Drosophila melanogaster: one gene and its partners. The protein of the gene in region 2 interacts with the protein of the main gene of each other region in a pairwise test. Each region holds a gene or a part of one and is shown on either strand. Other genes may lie near its edges.

The links.
Region 1: the proteins of CG8321 (region 2) and CG30184 interact in a two-hybrid assay, tested with the Drosophila melanogaster proteins (one large-scale study listed by BioGRID).
Region 3: the proteins of CG8321 (region 2) and Targ interact in a two-hybrid assay, tested with the Drosophila melanogaster proteins (one large-scale study listed by BioGRID).

What each region holds. Positions count from the first base shown.
Region 1 is NT_033778.4:23,561,975-23,567,738, reverse strand, and holds CG30184 (uncharacterized protein), read right to left. Parts: upstream 3,767-5,764; 5' UTR 3,661-3,766; coding exon 2,989-3,660; 3' UTR 2,959-2,988; downstream 1-2,958. Other genes in the region: Pi3K59F (phosphatidylinositol 3-kinase 59F), read right to left, coding at 3,927-4,372, 4,431-4,792, 4,867-5,140, 5,212-5,764.
Region 2 is NT_033778.4:12,030,775-12,038,027, reverse strand, and holds CG8321 (uncharacterized protein), read right to left. Parts: upstream 4,083-7,253; 5' UTR 3,894-4,082; coding exon 3,596-3,893; intron 2,541-3,595; coding exon 2,318-2,540; intron 2,253-2,317; coding exon 2,150-2,252; 3' UTR 1,800-2,149; downstream 1-1,799. Other genes in the region: 128up (upstream of RpIII128), read right to left, coding at 1-257, 311-431, 564-605; CG43191 (uncharacterized protein), read left to right, coding at 863-875, 941-1,351, 1,461-1,589, 1,645-1,799; pds5 (precocious dissociation of sisters 5), read right to left, coding at 5,047-5,139, 5,203-5,493, 5,566-5,831, 5,893-5,972, 6,034-6,170, 6,236-7,081, 7,144-7,237.
Region 3 is NT_033778.4:14,665,219-14,673,042, reverse strand, and holds Targ (tarag), read right to left. Parts: upstream 4,653-7,824; 5' UTR 4,628-4,652; coding exon 4,605-4,627; intron 4,596-4,604; exon of another isoform or gene 4,545-4,595; coding exon 3,943-4,544; intron 3,776-3,942; coding exon 3,525-3,775; coding exon of another isoform or gene 3,521-3,524; intron 3,457-3,520; coding exon 3,120-3,456; intron 3,070-3,119; coding exon 2,453-3,069; intron 2,392-2,452; coding exon 1,899-2,391; intron 1,835-1,898; coding exon 1,578-1,834; 3' UTR 1,368-1,577; downstream 1-1,367. Other genes in the region: mspo (M-spondin), read left to right, coding at 1-389, 658-676; CG12860 (uncharacterized protein), read left to right, coding at 6,352-7,302; CG12861 (uncharacterized protein), read left to right, coding at 7,795-7,824.

The DNA of each region.
Region 1 (5,764 bases), about 12 Mb from region 2:
TGTGGGGTGCGGGTTGGGGAGGGATGGGGTATTCTTGGGCTGCACTTGGTGGCACTTGGTGGTGCGGGAAGTTGGAAGGTAGTCTTATTTCAATTTACAACCAAGTGACGAAGTATCACAATTCAATGTTTAAAGTTTTTATCACGTTGTGGACAACAACAACTGTAGCGAAAACACAGCGCCACACTCCAACAAAACTAATGCGAACAGTGGAGCCTCATAATGGACTAATCCGTATCGAATGTAATCTTAAAACATTTCAATTTTAACCGCCACTTGTAAGTATGCAACACCAAAGGTAGATCCTACAGACACAATATTGTCAGGCTAGCAAGGCTTCACTGTACTTGCTTGCCGGCTGGCAGGCGAATACAAACAAACAAATGGAGCAACTGCAGCTAACTGCCAGGCGACAGATGCGGGCAGATGCGAGGGGCAGGACGGAGGCAGGAGGCAGGAACGAGGGGATAGGGAGCCCCACATACTGGGGCATGGGCATGGGCATGGGCAGTATGCAAAGCCTTCCCCCTTTTGGCACCGCGCAATATGGTTAATATGGCGCGACATTTCGTCCGCCGCCGTTCGCTCAGCTCGTTCGCTTAGTCAGCCCGCTGCGCTCGATGCTCGCGGGGCTATCCGCAGGGGCAGGGGGAGGGGTAGTGGGGAGTATGGGGGGCACTAAATGTTTAGTAACCAACTGAAATAGTAGCACTCGTGTTAGTATCGGTTCATGAAAAACGAACGGCAGCGAAATAGAATTGAACGAAAAATAAATGAGAGCCACTTCGGTTTACACAGAGTTTCGCATGTAGCTACACGACTTGCACTTGGATTTGAATATGAATGCGCCACAGACGGGGTCAGCATTATAGGGCCATCATATAGTAACCACATTGGGTTTGAACAATGGAGTAGAAGCACAAATACTAAGTTGTTGAATCTGAAATACGCTAGTAACAATCATATTTCAAGTATGTTCCTATACCATTTCGCCTAGTTGGCTGACCCCAGCTGTATCTGCATGATCAGGGGCGTGGCCAGAGGGGTGGCGGTGGAAAGTGGTAGCAAACGTCGTCAGCGTAAACTGATTACCACCGGACAATCTATGGAGCTGAACTAGCGGCACGTACACAGCGTTTTTGGGGCCAAAACCCGAGATGGGGGCTTACGGGGCTCCGGTGCTACGATGGGAACCTTCGTTTAGGGAGTTGGGTTCGTCGACGGCCCGAAAAGTTCCAGCTAAAAGCGACTGCACATAGGAAGTCGGAGTTAAGACTTCAATTACAATGGTGCACCACCCATGGGTCGATTGTGAAATTATAGACGAACCACCTTTGGGTTCCACGAATCCGAAATGAGGCGAAACGAAAAGAGTGCGCCAAAAGCCAAAAGCGATTACCAATTAATGGAACGTGCTGCCAGCTAAGATTCAACCACAATTACTACTATTTCCATATGATAAGTTCAACAAACAATGACAATTCTGCATGCATTGACTTCAAGTAAGTTAGCTAACTTACATATGTATGTATGAATCACCTATTTTTGCTCTAATTATCTCAGCCTTTGTATCTCATCGTAACGAACTCATCACCATAACGATTAATCTTATTCACTCAATCGACTCGGAAACTCGCCGTTTTATCGTTATCACCAGCCGGCTAAATTGTTGCGAAACATAGTTGAAATTCCGAGACTTTGGGCCCAACACCCACCGCAAACTGCACGTAGTGAAATTTAGCTGCCAACTAAACCAAACATGCTGCGATCTAGAAAATGTATCTTTCAGATGCACACGCTTTCCACACACACCCACACAACCCCAAGTGCGCACACATAACTCCAGCTTGGCATTCCAACTGACTTTGCACACCGAATGGAACACGTGCTGCATTTGGACCGGCTCGAAGGACCACGACCGGGGAATTGGGGCTAGCAGCGGAGGGCGGAGGGAGTGGATTGGGGCTGGGCCGCCTGGTGGTTCGGTGGCTCGATGGCTTGCAGCCACAGACAATAACAAAGGCCAAGTTGAGTGCAGTTGGCAGCGGTGAGTCATGCTCGCTCGCTCGCTCGCCAGTAGCACACCCACCCACTCACTCGCACTCGCAGCTGCAGTGGGCTCTCTTCGGGAAGAGTGGCATGTGGCATAGTGCTCCCGATAAGAGATTCCTGTTGCTGCTGCTACTATACAACATTGCACAGATCGAGTGAATTGTAAAGGCGAAAACGGGAAATGATGATTACACACTCAGTTTTCCGCCTCTTCCAAAGTCAGAATGGAAATTGGGAAAGTCCTAGAAATTGGAATTTCTTGAAGGGAAGAATTCCAATCTTCAGAGTTAGCCAAGGCCCACTGTGCCTTTCGTTTTGGCACGGCGTCTAAGTGTTCATATGCACATGGCCGCGAGTGTGCTAGTCCCGTTTTTTTTCGTTTTTTTTCGTTTGTTTGTGTTGCCTCGGGCGGCAACTTTAGTGGCAACGGCTAACTTTTAGCAAAAGTTTTAGCAACGAGTACCTGCAACTAACTAAAACCACAGGCACACAGACCCAGAGCTCGAGCGCCGCCCGCAGAAGTTTCCACCACGCATCGAACTATGAAAATCGGAAAAGTTTGCAGACAGAAATTTCCAGCCATGCATCCGCACAATGGCGAAGTGGACGACGCAGTGCGTTCCCCCCGCAACTCACCGCACCGTTCGCCATCGTCATTAAAGCTGGACTCCTCCGCAGGCTTAAACCAATGCAAAAATCCACAAAATCGACACAATTCCGGCAAAAGTAACGAAAATCACACGCGGCGCGCCAAACAAACTTCCAAGAACCAAAGGAACTGTAAACGAACAGCTGTCAAAGTGCGCGCGCTCCAAGAGACGGGGCTGTTATGCGGCGAACAGCTGATGGCGCCAGGGCTGCACAGCAGCGGGCTTTCAAAAGGCACAACTACAGTGAGCACACGAGCAGGTGAACGTTAATATTTAATTACTTGAGCTATTTGAAAACCTCCGAGTTCCTAATCCGCTCCTCCTCCCTCTCCTTGGCATCCGAGTCCGACTCGGAGGACGAGACCTGCCGCTTCCGGCCGGAATGCTCCGATGGCTGGGCGCTGGTCAGCATCCTGGCGGCGATGCGCCGAAAGAACCAGAAGCGACTGAGATAGGCCTCCGCGCCCCGGCTGATGAAGTACAGCTGCAGTGGTCGCTTGCTCCGCTGTGGATGCATCTTCTGATTCGCCCGACTGCGTGAGTGGGAGAACATGAGATCCAGAGCGAAGGTGCAGTGCATCAGATAAATGGCGCCGGCGTACAGAGCCACAATGGCGTTGTCCCGACAGCACGCATAGAAGCTGGGCCAGCGCTCAGTGCGGAACTCCTCCAAAGTGGCCACATACATGTTGGCGTACACGGTGACCATGTGCAGGCCACCCAAGATCCCACCGAACAGCGCCTCGTGCTTCATCGTCGGCCGCTCGGCGTAGAAAGCTCCAATCAGTGATATGAAGCATATGATCACCGAGCCGCCGTACGTTCCGCACAGCAGGAAGATGTGCGGCACACCCTCCTCCATGAAGCAGGTCCAATGGACGAGGCAGCAGCCCAGGCTCAGCAGCAGCTCCATCATCTTGAACAGGAACCAAACGGGCTTCTTGGAGCGCACCTGCATGTTTGCCCGATTAAATGGTTATACTACAATTGTGACAAGATATATAGTATATGTGGATACATTTGGTTCCGCACAACGGACTTTTAGCTACAGGCCACCTACGACTAAAGCAAACTTACGACTAGGATTTAAAGGATAAATAATATTAATAAGTATTGATAAGTATAAGGTATTAATCTAATGTACACTTTTGATGTTAAACAACTCAGCTGAACCGAACTAGGATTACTCGCTCCTCCCACAATTTCTTGTGCAAGCAATGTCCTCTACTTCCGCCAGTATTGGGTGAACCGATGAATCTGCTCCACCAGAGCCGGCATCACCGCCGTAATGGACACGTCCAGGAGGCTCTGCAAGTGCTGCACTGCCTCCTCGTCTGTGAGGCCCAGCTGCAGGTTCTCCTCCACCTTCTTGACCGCCTTGTCGGGCTCGAGAGCGATATCCGGCACAGTGGCGTCCACCATCAGAGAGAACAGGTTGAGCATCACGTTGGCATGCCGCCGCAAGTGCAGGTACGCCGTGTAGCACTGCTTGCGGAACTCGTGGTGATGCTCGGAGCTGATGCCGCCCATGGCCTCCACCATTTCCTTGCTCAGCTTCATTGGCGGCGGCATGGGCTTGGGATCGCGTCCCAGAATGTAGCCGAAATCGATGTGGAAGAGCTTGCCGTTGGTGGTCAGCAAGAGGTTGTCCAAGTGCCGGTCGCCCACACCTGCGAGGAAATTCCAAGGATTAGCGGAATCCACCTGGTTACACTCCTTTAGTCTCACCCAGCAAATAGGTGATCACACAGTAGCCCGCGCAGCTCTTGATGTAGGTGTCCATGACCTCCGCCGAAATGCCGTAGGGTCCATTGTCGCACGGATGATGCTTGCGGAAGAAGTTGTGGATGTTGCCCTCCCGCGCCAGCACCTCCGCCACGGTGCAGGAGTCGACGTACTGGAGGAAGCCGTGCTTGGAGCTGGTGGCCAGCACTTTGTAGGGAGTCAGCTTCAGGTCGAGGTTCTCGCGCCTCAGCAGCTTGTCCATCAAAGTTATCATCTGCAGGATGAGCTGATCCTGGCGCAGATCATCACCGTGCTTGAAAATGGCCGCGTACTCGTGATGGGCAATCGAAGTGACAAAGGTGAGCCTGCGAATAGGATTAAGGATTAGGATTGAAGTATTCAGTGAGTGAGTAGAGTTTGTTGGTTGGTCATGGCGTACTTGGCTGGCATCAGGGCGCTCTTGAAGAGCGATGTGCGCATGGGCACGATCTTGGTGATGTAGATCTCCGGATCCAGGGGAAACGGAATGGGCTCGAAGTTGGTGAAGTTCACCTTGAACATGTCCTGTTCGGCCAACAGTTTCTGGAACTTCTCAGTCTTCTTATTGCGATTTCCCGGCTCCTTGGCCACCAGTTTCACCAGTTTGACCAGCTCGTCGATGAAGCGCCGCTGCTTCCGGAGGTTGTAGAAGATGCCTCTCAGGTTGAAGTTGCCTGTGCGGATGAGCGGATTAGAGAATTAGGGAATTAGAGAATGAGCCATGATTTCGTTAAATTACACCCACCGTTCTCTAGCACCTTCAGAAACATCTTGAGCACCATGGCGTACATGTCGTGGGCCCTCTCGTCCTGCTTCCTCACCGACTCCACTTCCTCCACCTCGATGGACAAGTACCAGTAGAAGTAGTTGGCCAGCGTGGCGTTCGTGCAAGCGCGCTGGATCAGGAATGTGCAGAGATTGGCTGGAACACTGCCGAAGCTGATGCCCTCGGCCAGCATTAGGGCATTGGAGTTTGAGTCGCAGGGCAACGAGCTGCTGCCCGGAGTGGCGGGAGCAGAGGGGTTTGGCAGCGCAACCGATCCCTGACCACCACTGCCACTGCCACCCGCTGAACCGGGACTCACTGACTTATCGCTCTTGATGGCGGCCAAAACACTGGCCGCTCGCTGATTGGCCGGAATGACCGAGCCGTGGAGTCCACTGCTCGTGGCGCTCAGATCCGATAGGCTGCTCTGGTCCAGCAGAGAGCCGTTGTCGTCCAGGATGGACCGCACCACATCGCGCTCGGGAAAGATGCAGCCATGCAGGTGGACAATGTGCCGCGGATCCTCGTACTT
Region 2 (7,253 bases):
GCGAGCGACAGCAATCACCTGACGACCTCGACCCTTGCCATCCTTAGCGCCCTCAATGATACCGGGCAAGTCCAGCAGCTGGATCTTAGCGCCCTTGTACTTAATGCATCCCGGCACAGTGGTCAACGTTGTGAATTCGTATGCCGCCACCTCGGAGTAAACGCCAGCCAAGTTGGAGAGCAGTGTGGATTTACCCACAGAAGGAAACCCTACGAATCCCACCCGGGCATCTCCAGTCTTGGCCACCTCGAAGCCAGCTGGAAATACATAATGTTTAGTGATTGCCTGAATTATATATCCAAGAGCCTACCTTCGCCGGTTCCGCCGCCGCCTCCTTTGGGGGAAATCAGTTCGCGTCGCAGCTTAGCCAGCTTCGCCTTCAGTAGACCCAAATGGGCCGAGGTGGCCTTGTTCTTTTGGGTTCGGGCCATCTAGGATTCAGTTGAGAAGGTGGTCCAACAACCCGGTGATTTAGATAGAATCCAGGGGGGAATCCGCGGGGTAAATGGATGCGAGACAGGTTAGTTTCTGTAAGATCGGCAGGTACTCCAAGTTCCACTCACCTCCGACTCGATGGCCGAGATTTTCTCCAATATTGTGCTCATGGCTGGCTGAGAGTTAAACGCGGTTCACAGAAAACCCCAGTTATCAACAAATATGCATGTAAAAATAAAATATATAAAACTCTCGCGTGGACAGTTGGAGGTGCAATCGATATGTATTCGATACAATCGATTTGTTCAGTAATGTGGTCGATTCCCAACGTTAGCCAACACTTAACGAATCGTAAAAGTATTCTTAGACAAAATTAAAATGGTCAGGCTGATTGGAATATAGCCGTTACAATTTGATGGCTGCAAGAATGTTTGCTAAAGGTTAAGTTCCGCAATTAAATACTGAGAACTATTTATAAATTAACAAAAAATTAACATTGTTTCAGTTAAACCGCGCACCCCTCTGGGTAACAACCAAGCTCAATTTAAGAGCCAACTGACCAACAACGTCTCGCAATTGAATCGCAGTTTTCCAACGGCCGCTGAACTTTTGCGCAAAAATAGCACCCAATTGCGGCAAACAAAACTAACTGTCTGTCGTAAGGATAATAAGCTAATATACGATGGATTCGTGGAGGAAGCTGTGAAAGTTCAGCCCAAAAAGGAGAACGTTCCATCACCGATTATTCTGGAAAAATCCAGTTGCGAAATGTCAGCCAAAAAGGAATCAGCGGAGTTGCCAAGCTCCCCGATGTTGAAGCCAGGACGAAACTTAATTAGTTTAATTGGTCGCGTGGATTTCTGCCTTAAAACTCAAAAAATGTATCCGGAAATTAATGCTATTTGGAATGTTTACGGTGGGTCTGAACTGAAATACATTCAAAATCAAATTACTATATACATTTTAAACAGAATGATTAATATCGCTAAATTTGGCAAGTTAAATCATTAATTATCGTTTTTCAGGAAAATTGCTACGGATCATTGTGGGAAAACGTGGAGAACACACCTTGCTCGTGCGAAACAAAGAATCGGGGCCCGTCCTTCAGGGAATTTACTACGATTTCGAAGGCGTTATGAGTACTTGGAGCCCAGGTAAAATGCAGGAAACTGATAACCATTACATAACCAAAGTTTTATTCATTAAAAGGCTGCTTTGTCCATCTCGTGGGCCAGTTTATTGGCGAAAATCGCTTGAAAACATTTAAGATTGACCAGGTAAGCGACATTGACTGGCAACAGCAATTTCTGCGCATTGAAAATGTTACCTCGTATATTTTATTGCAAAACACTATGCAAAAGTAATTTATTTTTTAAGGATACAGTTTTCTTGAGATTTTTAGGCCAGGCGATAGTGTACTTTTCACAAGGTATAAATATGCTAGCCTAAGCTTTTCGATCCTGGCCTCCAATCAACAGTGAAATGTTTCATTTTGTACTTTTGTAGTTTACAAATCATGAATAATTTATAGAGTTAGTAACTTATAATTAATATACCTAGGAAATAAGTTAGCTTCAAAATGCCCCCTGACGATTCTCTCCAGGAGCATTGCACAGTTTCAAGGACTACAACAAATACAAATTCCGAAGTGGGCGTATAAAGTCTAATACTGGTGAACTTATTGAACTAATTGGAAGGAAATGGGTATTCAGTTCTACGAGTACAAGTCGAAGTACATGAAGACCGTGACCAGAAATCCGCAGAACAGGGCGCACAAGTAGCCCAAGTGCATCGAGGCAGTCTTCTCCTCGCGGAAACTGCAAATTGAAGTAAAGACTCCATGTTATAATGAATAATTAAAGGTGATTTCCCCAGAGCTTACCGTTTCTTGGAACGCGGCGTAAAGGGCGAGGGGGGATTTACGCCGGGCACCGCGCTGTCCAAGTACACGATTCCGTACGCGAAAGCTGCCACTAGAAGGCCACACAGCAGGGGACTCAGCCTGGAGCCCAGCTGGTGCCTGGTGGCCCACACCAAGGTCTCGTTCCACCTACTCTGCACCTGGTGGCTCAGCACCTGGATGGAATCGCCCGTGATGTATGGCACTGCAAAGAGAACGCCCAAAGCTCGTTAGTATCTCATTTTGAGTGTCGTTCTATTGATTTCACTGTTATCAGTCCTAGCGTGATAAACACGTCAAAATGTTGGGTTTATAACTAGGGTGGTTCAAATTTATTAGTCAGATATGTACGCTATGAGGGAATCAAAGCAATTTGGCTAAATGGAAAGAATTAGTGGGCAAAGAAATTTGCAAAAATGTACAGAAACCCCATTCGTTACACCATAAATAGCAAGGTTGCGCTTTTTATAGATTTGGACCGATGGGAAAGATTGGAAATAAATATTCGTTTGTATTGGTTTAATTATTTCTTTTCTCGACAATGTATAAAATTTGTTTTCTGCTTATATCAAATTTATATGTTTGAATTATTTAACAAATAGTTGATTAAACATGTGTTTTTTCTTTGAGCTTTGTTAAACTTTATTAAATTTTTTGTCGCACTTTTTTTGGAGCCACCCTAATGCAAAACCTGCAGCAAATAAAGATTGCTATATCGTCAGAAATGTAAAATTCGTTATTTTCCTGGGCCTTCTAGCGGTACCTTCTAATGTTTATATTACATACATTAGAATATACATGTATGTGTCGCGTGACGAAAGCCCAGTGCTAAATACCGTTAAGCTAAGCGTAGATGAATAACTAATAGCCGCTGGGCAAACAATTAACTAACTAATGGCATTTTGCCTCAAAGATGAAGCAACTAATCACTCTTTGACGATTTTTCTAAGGTCTTCAGTACGTTTGTATGCAAATGAGACGGCTAATGCGCATCAAACAATTTGCCTTCCTTATATAGACGTTTTTTCGCTATTCGGCGGCTTATGCAGGGGGAACAAACACCACCGCTATGAGATCACACGAACTTCAACTATTTATAAACGCGAGAATATAAACAAAGTGCGAGTAAAGACGACGCAACCGACAATTGCAACCTTGAATTCCCACCCCCGCCACACCGGGGATATACAGAAATAAACAAATGGAAATCCAATAAACCCACAATATATTTACGTTTAGCCCCCAGCTTGGCACACTTACTCGTTAAGATGACGCTTTTGTAGCCAATGATAAGAGTCCCAAAGAGAAGGGCCACCTTTTTGATCAGCGGATCGAGGGCGGTCACCACTCCCACTCGCCCCTTTTCCGAGGGTTTAGCAACACCTACGTAGTGCTCAAGTTTCGGATGCGAGGTCTTCGGCGTGGAGGTGTAGATCCGTCCGTTCGGTTGCCCGTTTTTTTTACTTCTGACTGCCGTTGAGAAAATCCCATTGGTTTTGTTTTTCTCCTGCTGGCGATGCGTGACGTCACAGCCGACTTCGGCTGGTTCCACCTGCATTTCGTGGTTTTGCCGGCGTAAGCTTTGTTTGGAATTAGTTTTCGTTGTTCGAACTGCGCGGCAAAACAACAATCAGTGTCTATTTAACTCGACAATTGTTTGGTTTATTTCACAATAGCACAAAAACAACAAGAAAAACGTCACACCCCCGAAAAAAAACAACGCAGAAAATGCAATTGGAACTAGTGATGGGAGAGTTGATGTTGCACCGTGAACTATCGACGGCCTCTTATCGATAGTTCATTTGTTATCAATATTCAAATTAGTTTTAGCCCTCCTAAGAGCGACTTTGAAATTGAAAAGAAAAAAGTTAGAAACAAAAATTATATTTTAGCCATTTTTTAAACTTACTTTATATTAAAAAAGTACAACATTTTAATAATTTAAACTAAAAGCCCATTTTCGATATCCATTTTAACATTTAAATAATAATCATACGTTTATTTGTAATTTAAAAACCATAATAATTGTTTAATGTACATGTTTTATAGTTTAATGTGTGTATTCATTTTATTTTTATCTTTGTAGTTTTCTTTCCAATTCTTACGCTTTTAGGTTTTCTTTTTGAATGCATTTTGAATGCATACTTGTTGAATTTAACGAGACAATTGTATGTATTATGATGATGTTACATTAACTAAAAATTAACTGCGATCATAGAAAAGTTAATTTTAATTACTTAATAAGGCTCTGTTTACGTTTTCATTACTTTACTTCGTACTTTAACTTATGCGCGATATACTTTCCTTTTTTTATTCGATATACAATAGTCTAAGAATAATGGTAAAATCAATCAATAAATCAAACACTATAAAAGAACAGGATAAAACATTTTAAATGATAAATAATTACTTTTACAGAGTTGCGGTTAACAGATTTTTCGACACTTTTTTCGTTTTTCTTTTTTTGATGTTTGTGTTTTTGGTGTATCTCACAAAATTGATATAGTACATACTGAATGCGAAACTGAACAATCCGAATTCTGGGTGCTTAGTTGTGAGTTGCATGGTGTGGATAAAGGTAGTGTCGGTTTAACAACTATCGTGGTCTTTCCTACGTCTTAAATATTTAGTTAACTTAGGCGCCTAGACTAAACATAACTAAACTAACAAGTATGCGCTCTCTCCACCTCCAATCTGCGCCATCCCAGCCCCTATGATTTGGCTGAAGCGGCTCCTGCGCGCGTTCGTTTGGCCATGGGCTCCGTAGTGTCAGCCGCTCGTATGTTGTCGAACAGATTGTTCTCCTGAAATCAAATTTCACACACTAGTTAGATTCATTCTCAGTATTTTCCAAGGACCTCACTCACCTGCGGATTTTCATCATCCATGATTGACTGTTCCGCCGGTCTCTTTGGAGCCACTGCTGCTCGCGACGTTGTCATTGCTGTTGCGGCAGCTTTGCTCGTGGATTTGGCTCCCAGCGTATACACGTCCAGCGGTATATAGACGTCATTGTTTTGGAAATTCGCAACGGCAGGCTCTTTATAATACATTTCTGGCAAAGCCAGCGGCATGGAAAAGGTGCTCGTGTTGCCATCAAATGGACTGAACTTGGAGTCGATAATGTACATGGCAAGATCGCAGAGCGCCCACATTTTCTGATAACCGAAAAATATATGTATAAATATAATTTAGAAGGGAAAGCCTGGGAAAATGATTGAGTGACATACATAGTTGTCGCGCTTGTCCGACCCCAGACTGAACTCGCGATGCTTTATCAGCTGCAGCAGCTGCTTGTAGAAGCTATGGACAAACGTTTCTCGTTTGGCCATCAGCGGCTCCAGAATGAAACGCAGGCACTTCTCCATCTTGCGCAGCTGTACGTAGTCCTCGTGATTCGTGAAGCGTGGATCGTGGACCAGCACGGGAATAGCGAAAGCCAGCATGTAGTCAGGTAGTATGTGTAATGATTGTGACTCCGTTGAGCTGTCGGGAGCTGGAATAATTTGATTTAATGGTTAAAATACACAATATGATTCCAAAAGTAAAACACCTACATGTCATAGCCACAGTCTTGAGATATTCCCGCCGTTTGTTTACATCCGTTTCTGCATAGTGACGCACAAGGTCTTGCAATCTGTTGAAAATATTTATCAATACTTCTCCGAACGGATCGGATGGTTTCTTGAACTACTCACTTCCTCTCAGTCTCTAGACCAGCCAGCACATACAAGCCCATGAAGTCCAGCGGCAAACAGTTCCTGGGCAAACTTCTGCTTAATCCTTTGTGCAGCTTGCGAGCAAAGATTTCCCGAACTTCTGGCACCGGATCAGCCTACGGGAACACCGAGATAGACATTGAGACTAAGTTCTAAGCACAAGATGAATGTCTCTACTCACCATCAGCTGGGAAAGCTGCAAATACTGCTCAGCGCTGTACTGATCACCTACGCCCTTTTGTTCGCACACTTTGAGCATGGCGCAGGCTGCCCCGAGGCGCAGCCAAGATTTCTCGGCACCGCAAAGACGGTTCTGGCCGAGCAAATCGCCTCGTTGGTTAACAAACGCCGCCAGCATTCGGAATGTTTTCTGGGCAGCGTGCTCATCGGTACGCAATCCCAAAAGCCACCTGGCCATAGCCTTGAGCGCATCCAGCTTACATAGAGTGTCCGGCGGTAGTTTCTCTTGGGCACACCAATCACTGTCCTCTGGCAGTTCGTAGTCTCGCTGCGCAGGAACTTCTTGGATAAGCAGCTCTTTGACAATTCGTCGCGCAATCATATTCTTAATGGGCGTTAGGAAGGCCTGTGGCATATTGTAGGCAATGTGACCCAAGGTCACAATCTTTGTGCGCTGATGCTCACAGTTTGGTGTCAGTTTTAGGCGAAGCGTCTCGATGATCTCGTTGAAAATAGGATGCACTGTTTGTGTAGTTGTGGACGCACTTCCAGCTCCACTTGTTGCTCCATCAGTGGAAGCCGACGACTGGCTGTTTACGAAAATACATCGCACCGCGTGCTTTGCTTGCTTGGGGGTTCCAATAAGTGCGAAGTCCTTGCACACCGGAGCCAGCTCGTCGAGAATAGCCGGTGTAGGGTCGTCAATGAGTGGCTGATAGCGCCCCAGATGAGTTAGTGTCTTTAGCACCAGTGGTGCAACATAATCCTGCTCGTAACTGAGCAGGGAAATTAAATGACGCAGCGAAGTATCGGTGAAGAAATGAGCCGAAAAGACGTATGAAAGCATCTGCAAGTATAAAGCAATCAAATGGATTTCTGTATCATAACTTAAATTATCTCTATACTCACGGCCAACAACTTGAGTCCGCGCTCGCCCGCTTCCTGAGCCGAAATTCCGATCTCTTCACACATGGACCCTTTCTCGATGCATTGTTCAATTAGGCTGAGCAAAAAGATTA
Region 3 (7,824 bases), 2.6 Mb from region 2:
GGTCAGGTGGTCAGTGTGGTGCCGAAGAACGACAAGCATGCGATCCTGCAGAGCATCGCCAGCAGCTATCGGCGTGCCGCAGATGCCAGCGATGCAAACGCCTCCAAACCGACACCATCCGCGATTGGTGGTGGCAAGGCCGGTGGTGCGGTGGGCGGTGGTGCTGCCACCCGCAGGCGGAGCTCCGCGCAGCGTCGTCGTGATTGCCGCGTGAGCCACTGGTCCGAGTGGACGGCCTGCAGCAAAAGTTGCGGCGTCGGCGAGATGCATCGCTACCGCAAGGTCATAAAGCACGGCAAGAGGGGCGGACGACAGTGCCCGGCGCTCCAGCAGTCCAAGTGGTGCGGCACCGAGCGCAACTGTCACGGGTCGCAGACCTATTTTAATTGGTAAGTGTGCCGCGCCGCGGAAAACTCAATCAAATTAGTGTTACACTGCAAACAATTTCAATTCATTAATATTAATTAAATTGGAATTTAATTCAATTTCGCATTTCACATCAAATTTATATACACAATCGAAAAGGGGAAGTCCTTTGTTTTTATATAGATAACACAAAAAATCCATAATAGATTGATATTTTTATATTTTTTTGTTCTTTGACTCACCCCACAAGTATATACAATTAAAATATATATATGTCCGATTCGATTTCAGGTCCGATTCCGACACATGAACGATCCACTTGGCGGAGGCACAGGCGATATAAATATAATTTTAATTTAAGGCGTAAGAATTGCTTTTTCTGTGTGAACAAGAAAGACCAGCCAGGCCGTTAGGAGTGTGGTTCATCCCGCAAGGAGATTTTAATTTAACTTTACATTATCAAATGACATTGTTTTTAACGCAGACGGCAGAGACTTCAATTAAAAATGGATTAAATTAGAGGCGACGATGGGGAAGACTACTGACAATATTAAAAAACACAAGAAAGATTTAGACACAGGACACAGAGGATTGGAGTCATTCGTCCTGCGGATGTCGATTCAAACATTCTTATGTTTATGTGTTCACATTGATTTATATTTTTTTTTTCGTTGCTTTAGCTCTAAATAATATGTAAAAAAATCATCATAAAATATAAAAAATGAAGAAAAAAAAAACAAAACATTGAACAGTAGACGTACAAAGTTTAGAAAGCAAATCAAAGTAAACAAGAAGCGTGAAAATTTGCATACCCAAACAAGGAAAAATGGAAACAAAACCAAATGAAAAACCAAACACAGCACACTTGAACCTATAAGCGTGGAGCCAAAGTGTGTTGTTCAGCAACTAAGCTAATATTAGATGTAAACTAAGCTAACTAATAACTTAAAATGGATTGCAATAAAAGTCAACCCCAAAAAGAACTCACTTGAATTGAAATTATATTGAAAATAAATCTGTAATAAGGAGGAAGTAATAGTTAATGACATCGGTCAATTAACAATTACATGGATATACAAACATTTACTCAGAATTTGGAACGAGGACCAGTAAAAAAAAGTCATAAAAATGCCTAAGCTATTAGTTGTAAGACAATCCCAAGTTCCAAGCAGGAGAACCAATAAATATTGCAATTCCAATAGTCCAATTCCTCATTGGGCCATCCTGTTGCGACATTTAATAAGCAAGGGCAGCAGAAGCTTCAGAAATCCGGACACTATGAGACATAATCCCGCAAAGCAAAAGGCAGCAGAATAGTTTCCCGTGATGCCTATCAATTTACCAGCAATTGTAGTCCCAATAAAGGCGCCCATTCCCATGGCCAATGAGGTAATCCCAAAAGCGTTGGTCAGTTTTGAAAGTCCCAGGTATTTCACGTATATCAAACCTCTCAGTGTGGAATAAACAGCTATTCCATGGAAATGAGAGAGGGTAATATTGTAAACTTAAGTAAGGTAAGTAAATGTACGCACCAGGCGCTACAGCATAGGAGAAGCCATACAGAAACTGGAACCAAATCAAGTTCTCTCCATAGAAGGCGCTAATCAAAACGGAAACACCACCGAAAATTAGACCACAACCACAAAGTCCGAGGGTCCAACTACGCCTTTTGTAAGCGAGGATGCCAAGGATGTTTCTCATCACAAGATTACTAATTCCGATAATGGGGCCGATCATACGGGCATATTCGACGGGGATCGTGGTTCGTGCAGACGAGTAAACAAAGGGTATATTAAAGCCCATCGGGAACAGAAAGGCGGACGCCACCAGAATCTTGAACTCAAACTGTTTCAGCAGGCGGTAGTCGAATAGTTTGAGCACAGTGAGCATAAACCGGCTATTCCTACAGGAATTTTGCTTTTTCTGATTCTCGTTTGACCATCTTCGTTCCCTATGAACTCTAGAAATCCTATCGGGTTCATCATCCACACGAATGTTCTTGATGCCATAGTTCACTTGCTGGGTCTAAGTGAAAGTTGGTGGTGTTCTTAAGTTGAAGCGAATTTATTCTTAATACAACACTTACGTTCTTATCCGATCCCATTAGTAGGAACTCCTTGCCGTCGACGTTCTCCTTGCTGTGCGGCTTTTCGTATTCGGCAGGACCCGTATAGAAGAGATCCTCCCGCTCCAGGGGCGCCGGGCGGATGAGCAGATTCTGCTCATCAGCATTTTGCGACTTCTTCCGCCGCCTCCAACAACAGTTCGAACAGGAGGGGCAGAACTTGGCGCATCCTTTCTTTTTTGGGCGTGGCTCATATGTACTTAGGATACTCCGGCTTTTAGCAGTCATCGCGGATTGACGTAAATAGTCATGCACGTAGAAGTTGCCGTAATACTCATCCGAACTGGTATCCGAAGAACCGGGTAAATGGTACATGCCCACCTGGGTGGGAGCCACCTCCACATAGGCGACCACCATCAACAGGATCAACATTATCAGCCCCGCCTGCGTCCGCAGCATGTTCCTCCATCCGATGATTGGCACCAGCCAGCTGTTGAGGAACGTGAAGAGTACTATGCCCGCACCGCCACCGCTGCAGGAAAATCCATTGGCCATCGGACGGTACCGCTCAAAGTAGTAGCCAACAATCAGCTGCGAACTTGCCCAGATCATGCTCAACGTAATACCACCTGCGCAGGCTAGTACTATTATTCATCGAATATCGTACAGCAATCTAGAATCAACCTACCAAGGACGCTGTAAAAGAAGATCAGCATGGTCAAGCTGACGCTCCAACTGGACGCCAGTATTGAAACTGCGGAACACAGGACCCCAGCGATGGCTACCTTTCGGAAACCAAAACGATTTATCAGGACAGCAGAAAACGCTCCGCTAGTGAAGTAGCAACCAATCTGGACACTGGCCACAAACGATACCGACGATATGGAGACATCCAGATCCTGGGCAATGGATGGCAATAAGACCCCAATGGTAAAAATTAAACCATCGATTATCAGCTGGGCGAGGAAGGACAGCACCATGATTACCCAACCGAATCCGCCGTCCGGTGGTATCACCATATAGATCTGTGGATGACAAGAGTCGTCATTCGTTTCTCAATTCACCACCACAAGAATGCTATTCACTCACTTACAAAAACCATACCGGAGCCAAGTCGTCTTCCACCACGGCTAAAGTCAAAGGACTCCTTCGAATTTTTACTTTCCATGTCGAACGATTGCTTGCGCGTTCGATTTCCGTCGTATTCGCTGAAAGATTCCGGCGATGCGGTATCGGCCAACTGTACTGTAGTTACATTGAACGAGAGACCCGATTCCTGTTGATCGGTTTCCTTAGGGACCACATATGAATCCTCGGAATCGTATTTGGGAATCAAGGGGGATCCTGTAAGAAGGCTACAGTTTTAGCTACAAGAAATGCATTTGGTAGGTTCCTCAATTTCAAGCAAATGGCCAAAAATAGCTTAGACAAAATTCAATTGCATGACAATAAAATAAAAATAAAAAAAAAAACATTTTTGTAAAAAGGAAGGCAGCGCTATGATAACTTACTCTTTTTATAAAACTTTTGCGTTTTGGTAATGAGTGGTTCTGCCCTATCATATTCATCCGTATAGCTAGTAAAGCTCAACATCTGAGACACCTCATCTGTGCTCTCGATATATTCATTCTCATTATCCCTGTGTGTGGACAATTCCTTGCTAAATCCACGGGTCCTAGAGTATTTTTTCTCAAAGGCCGGTTCCACAAACGGCACCTCAGATATTGGCTCAATTGGCCTAGATGGTGGAATTGCTGGCTGGTTTTTCGAAATCTCAGGCTCATTTGATGCCCCCACAAGCATATGGGGAAATCTTCTGATAGGCAGCTTGGGAAGAAAAGTTGGATTAAAGCTTTCGTAGAACGAAGGCAAATCCACTTCACTCCCGTGAGACTGACTAAGGGACAAGAATGATGTGCGCCCATTCAGGATATCCGTTGAAACTGTGCCGACGGCCACACTGACCATTTGTGGTCGCGTGTTTCGCGTATCATTGTAATAGATGGATGAGTTTTGAACCGAGATGTCCAGCCTGGACAGAGATTGGGATCTCAAGCTACTTCCACTTGGCTGTGCAGCGGCGGTCTTATCTTCATATTGGCTGCTGGGGAAGCTGAAAAACAGAGGGATTTGGTCGAGTTGAGTGCTTTGCTGGGCGAACAGACTCAGTCACCTTCGCCTACGATTCCTGCTCATTTTTCGACTCTGTCGCAGAGTGTTCCTGACATCTTTCACAAATCTCTCTGCGTCTCGACCCGAACCCAATGCACAGTGGCTGGCTACGTGTCTGGCTGCAAGATGAGAAGCCCCAGCAACAGGAACGGGAATTCATGGGGATTCGTGGGATTCGGGAACTGTCGCCAGACATTAGCTGCTCCTGGCTACCAAATGCTGTCATGGCTGCCAGGCGAGCGTGACAAACGGAGTTGGTTGGTAGTTGCTTGTTGGTGACCCCCAGTTGCTCCTCCTCCGCAATTGCCCCACTGCAACTGTTACTTTTTAGCCATCGCCTCGCCATCGCCATCTTCTTTTGCCTGGCGAATCCCTATTGCCACAACCCGATCCCAGCTCCGTTCCACCCGCTTGCCTGTTTATTTTGGGGCCGAAACAAAATTGCATCAGTGCAATTTCATTGATTGTAAGTAAATGAAATCATTCCTTAGTCGTCTGAGTTTTGCACGGAGAGCGGAGCGATTGGAGTGGAGCGGCTAAAGTGCATCTCAGCTTTAGGGGCAGTAACTTCATTGGCAGTCACTCAAAGGCAACAAGAGCTGAAGTATTGGGGTCGACTGTTTCCCCAGTTGATTAAATGGAAAGTGATGCCCGGGCTCTTGAATTGGAGGCAGTCGGTCCATGCTTTATGAAACAAACCTCGCCCCTGGAAACTTTAACTAAGCCAGCCCTGCTTTTGCAAAATGAATTACAAACAAAGTGCACTAATTAATTAGCGTAAAGGCCAGCAAACTTTTCGACCAGCCACTTCAGCTTCATCTACACCTTCCCCCCCCCCTGGATTTTTCCTGTTCTCCCGCGGGGGAGCACCGATTGCAGCGGCTATTTTTCCTGGCCAACAACTCTATGCGGAAATTGTTTTTTTCCAAAAGGTTCGCTCGTACGTGCTCGTTTTTTATGGCCCACGTTGTGTTTTCCTATTTTTCGATTTTTTTTCCCCTGAGCGCCTTGAAATCGAAACGGCCAAAAGATTGCGCTGCCAAATTGTTAACAGCAATTGACCCAATTTTATGGGAGCCCTCATGCATGGCCACTCTCGGACGGCAGTGACTCCAATGAAAATAGCGGCGTAAAAGCGAAAACTGCCCCGAGAACAGCAAGCAGCGAGCGGCGACCAACGCGGCGTATACTTATTCTAGTGGACTTCTGTTGTTTTTTTTTTCGCAGGGGGTCAGCTTTGTATGTATATTTTTCGTTCTGTTTTATTTTTTTTTTTTTTTGTTGGGCTTTGTCGTTTGGCTGGCTGCACTCTGTTTGCATTTAACTTGCAAACAAGCTGGGGCAAAAATTCGTAAAGTGAAGGTTGCGTTGCCTATTTTTTCTTTATTGTTATTTGCCTGCAAATCAAGGCAGCTGGACATTGCAAATTCGCTGGCATCGAATCCATTCGCAATTAACTGCAGAACAAACAAGGAAAACCCATTTGGTCCGTGGCCCGGAAAAGGCTCAATTCGCGACAGTATTCGAGGAATTACACACTTAAATCTGGAATCCATAGAGAAGTAGCTGTTGAAATGTAAATAAAATAGATCCCATCATGGCGGCCTTGGACTAGATTTCTTGCCAACTATTGGTTCAGCACCTTGGTGTTAGCCAGATCAAAGCAGAGCGTTCGCCTGTACAGACCAAAATTTCGTGTCTCTCAACCTGCCACAGCACCGGTTCCAATCCAAAACCTCCGTTTAGTTATGTTTCTGGCCAAAAGTTCATCAATACTTCGCCCGCAGCTTCTTAATGAGGTGAAGGGACTAGTGAAGTCACAATTTCTGGCTCTGTCACAGGTCGACCGACGCTTTGCCCACTCGGACGATAGGTGCGCCAATAAGAAATCCAGGAAGTGCGAGCAGAGCCCACCCAAGGGTGTAGGTTTGCCCCCCCGGGATCGAAGACATTCTCATACGGATGGCGTCAGTGATAAGTGCGCGAAGAACAAAAAAGATAAGCGGGAGTGCAAGAAGTTTGAGTCCGAGAATGCCAAAAAGCCGGAATGCAAACCGCCCGTTGTCCGTGCTCCAAAATACTACAAGCAGCTAAAACCGTGCAAGACCGACAAGGAGCTCTCCGAGCTGCATCCCAAGTATCTGGGTGTATGGGGTCGTTGCGACATACCCTACAAGCCAGAGCCCGATTGCACCGATCCCTGTGATTTGGCCGTACGTTTGGATGACAAGTACTACAAGCCCAGCAAATCGCTGGACCGCGAATTCGACCAGTACTGGGTGGAGTGCTTCTTCCGGAAGCAGAAACGCTGCTGCCGCAAGGTTGCTCCTGAGCGCACTTACCGCGTGTTAACCAAAAAGTGCGTTTCCGCTCCGAAGAAGGCGCCTTGCTTCACCGTCAATCCCATGCCATGCAAACAAGAGGCCAAAACCAGCCCCTGTCCCAAGATCAAGCTATGCGAGTGTCCGCCGGCAGCTGCCATTAACAATTGTAAACTGGTGCGAAGACACACAAGATGCCGGCGTCGCGCATGCCAGTATCCCAGCTTCTCGGAGTGCCAGCACGAGGAGCTGAACACCAGCAGACCCATCGAGTGCCGCTGCCTGGAGGTGCCGCCGCTTTGCCTTGTCTATCGACACGCTCTCCTCAACCGCCGACTTCCCTGTGAGCCTCTGAAGCCGCGCAATGAATCGTGTTAAAGGAGGCACACTTTGGATTTGTGGACCCATTCATGGTGCTTCAACAATAGGCAGATAAAAATTAACAGTGTAATAAAAGATACGAAATTTTTGGTTAAATAAATCTTTCAAAATATTTACATTTAATGCATTTAGTCTATGGGGGGGTTTTGGTCTCTGTTGTATACGCCGTTAGGTGGGACTATCAAATAGAGGTGCTTTACTTAGATCGAGTCTTCTCCTATTGGCAGTGCCAGTAACAGGTATCTGATAGTTGAGGCACTCGACACATATTTTATTTTTAATTATTTACATATGCTTAGATCTAATCATAAATTTTGAATCAAGTAGGCCTTAAGACAAAACTTCAACTGTCCTAGCCAATTTCAGATTACTTTCGAATCATTCGTAAACAGTTGTTCGAGTGGTCAACACACATAACACCTTAGCCTCCCCAAAAATCCAGGTTTCCGTTTTGGTTTCCTTTCAAAATTCCAGTTAAATTCAGTTAGAATGGGGGTGTTGCAGACAGTGCAACGAACG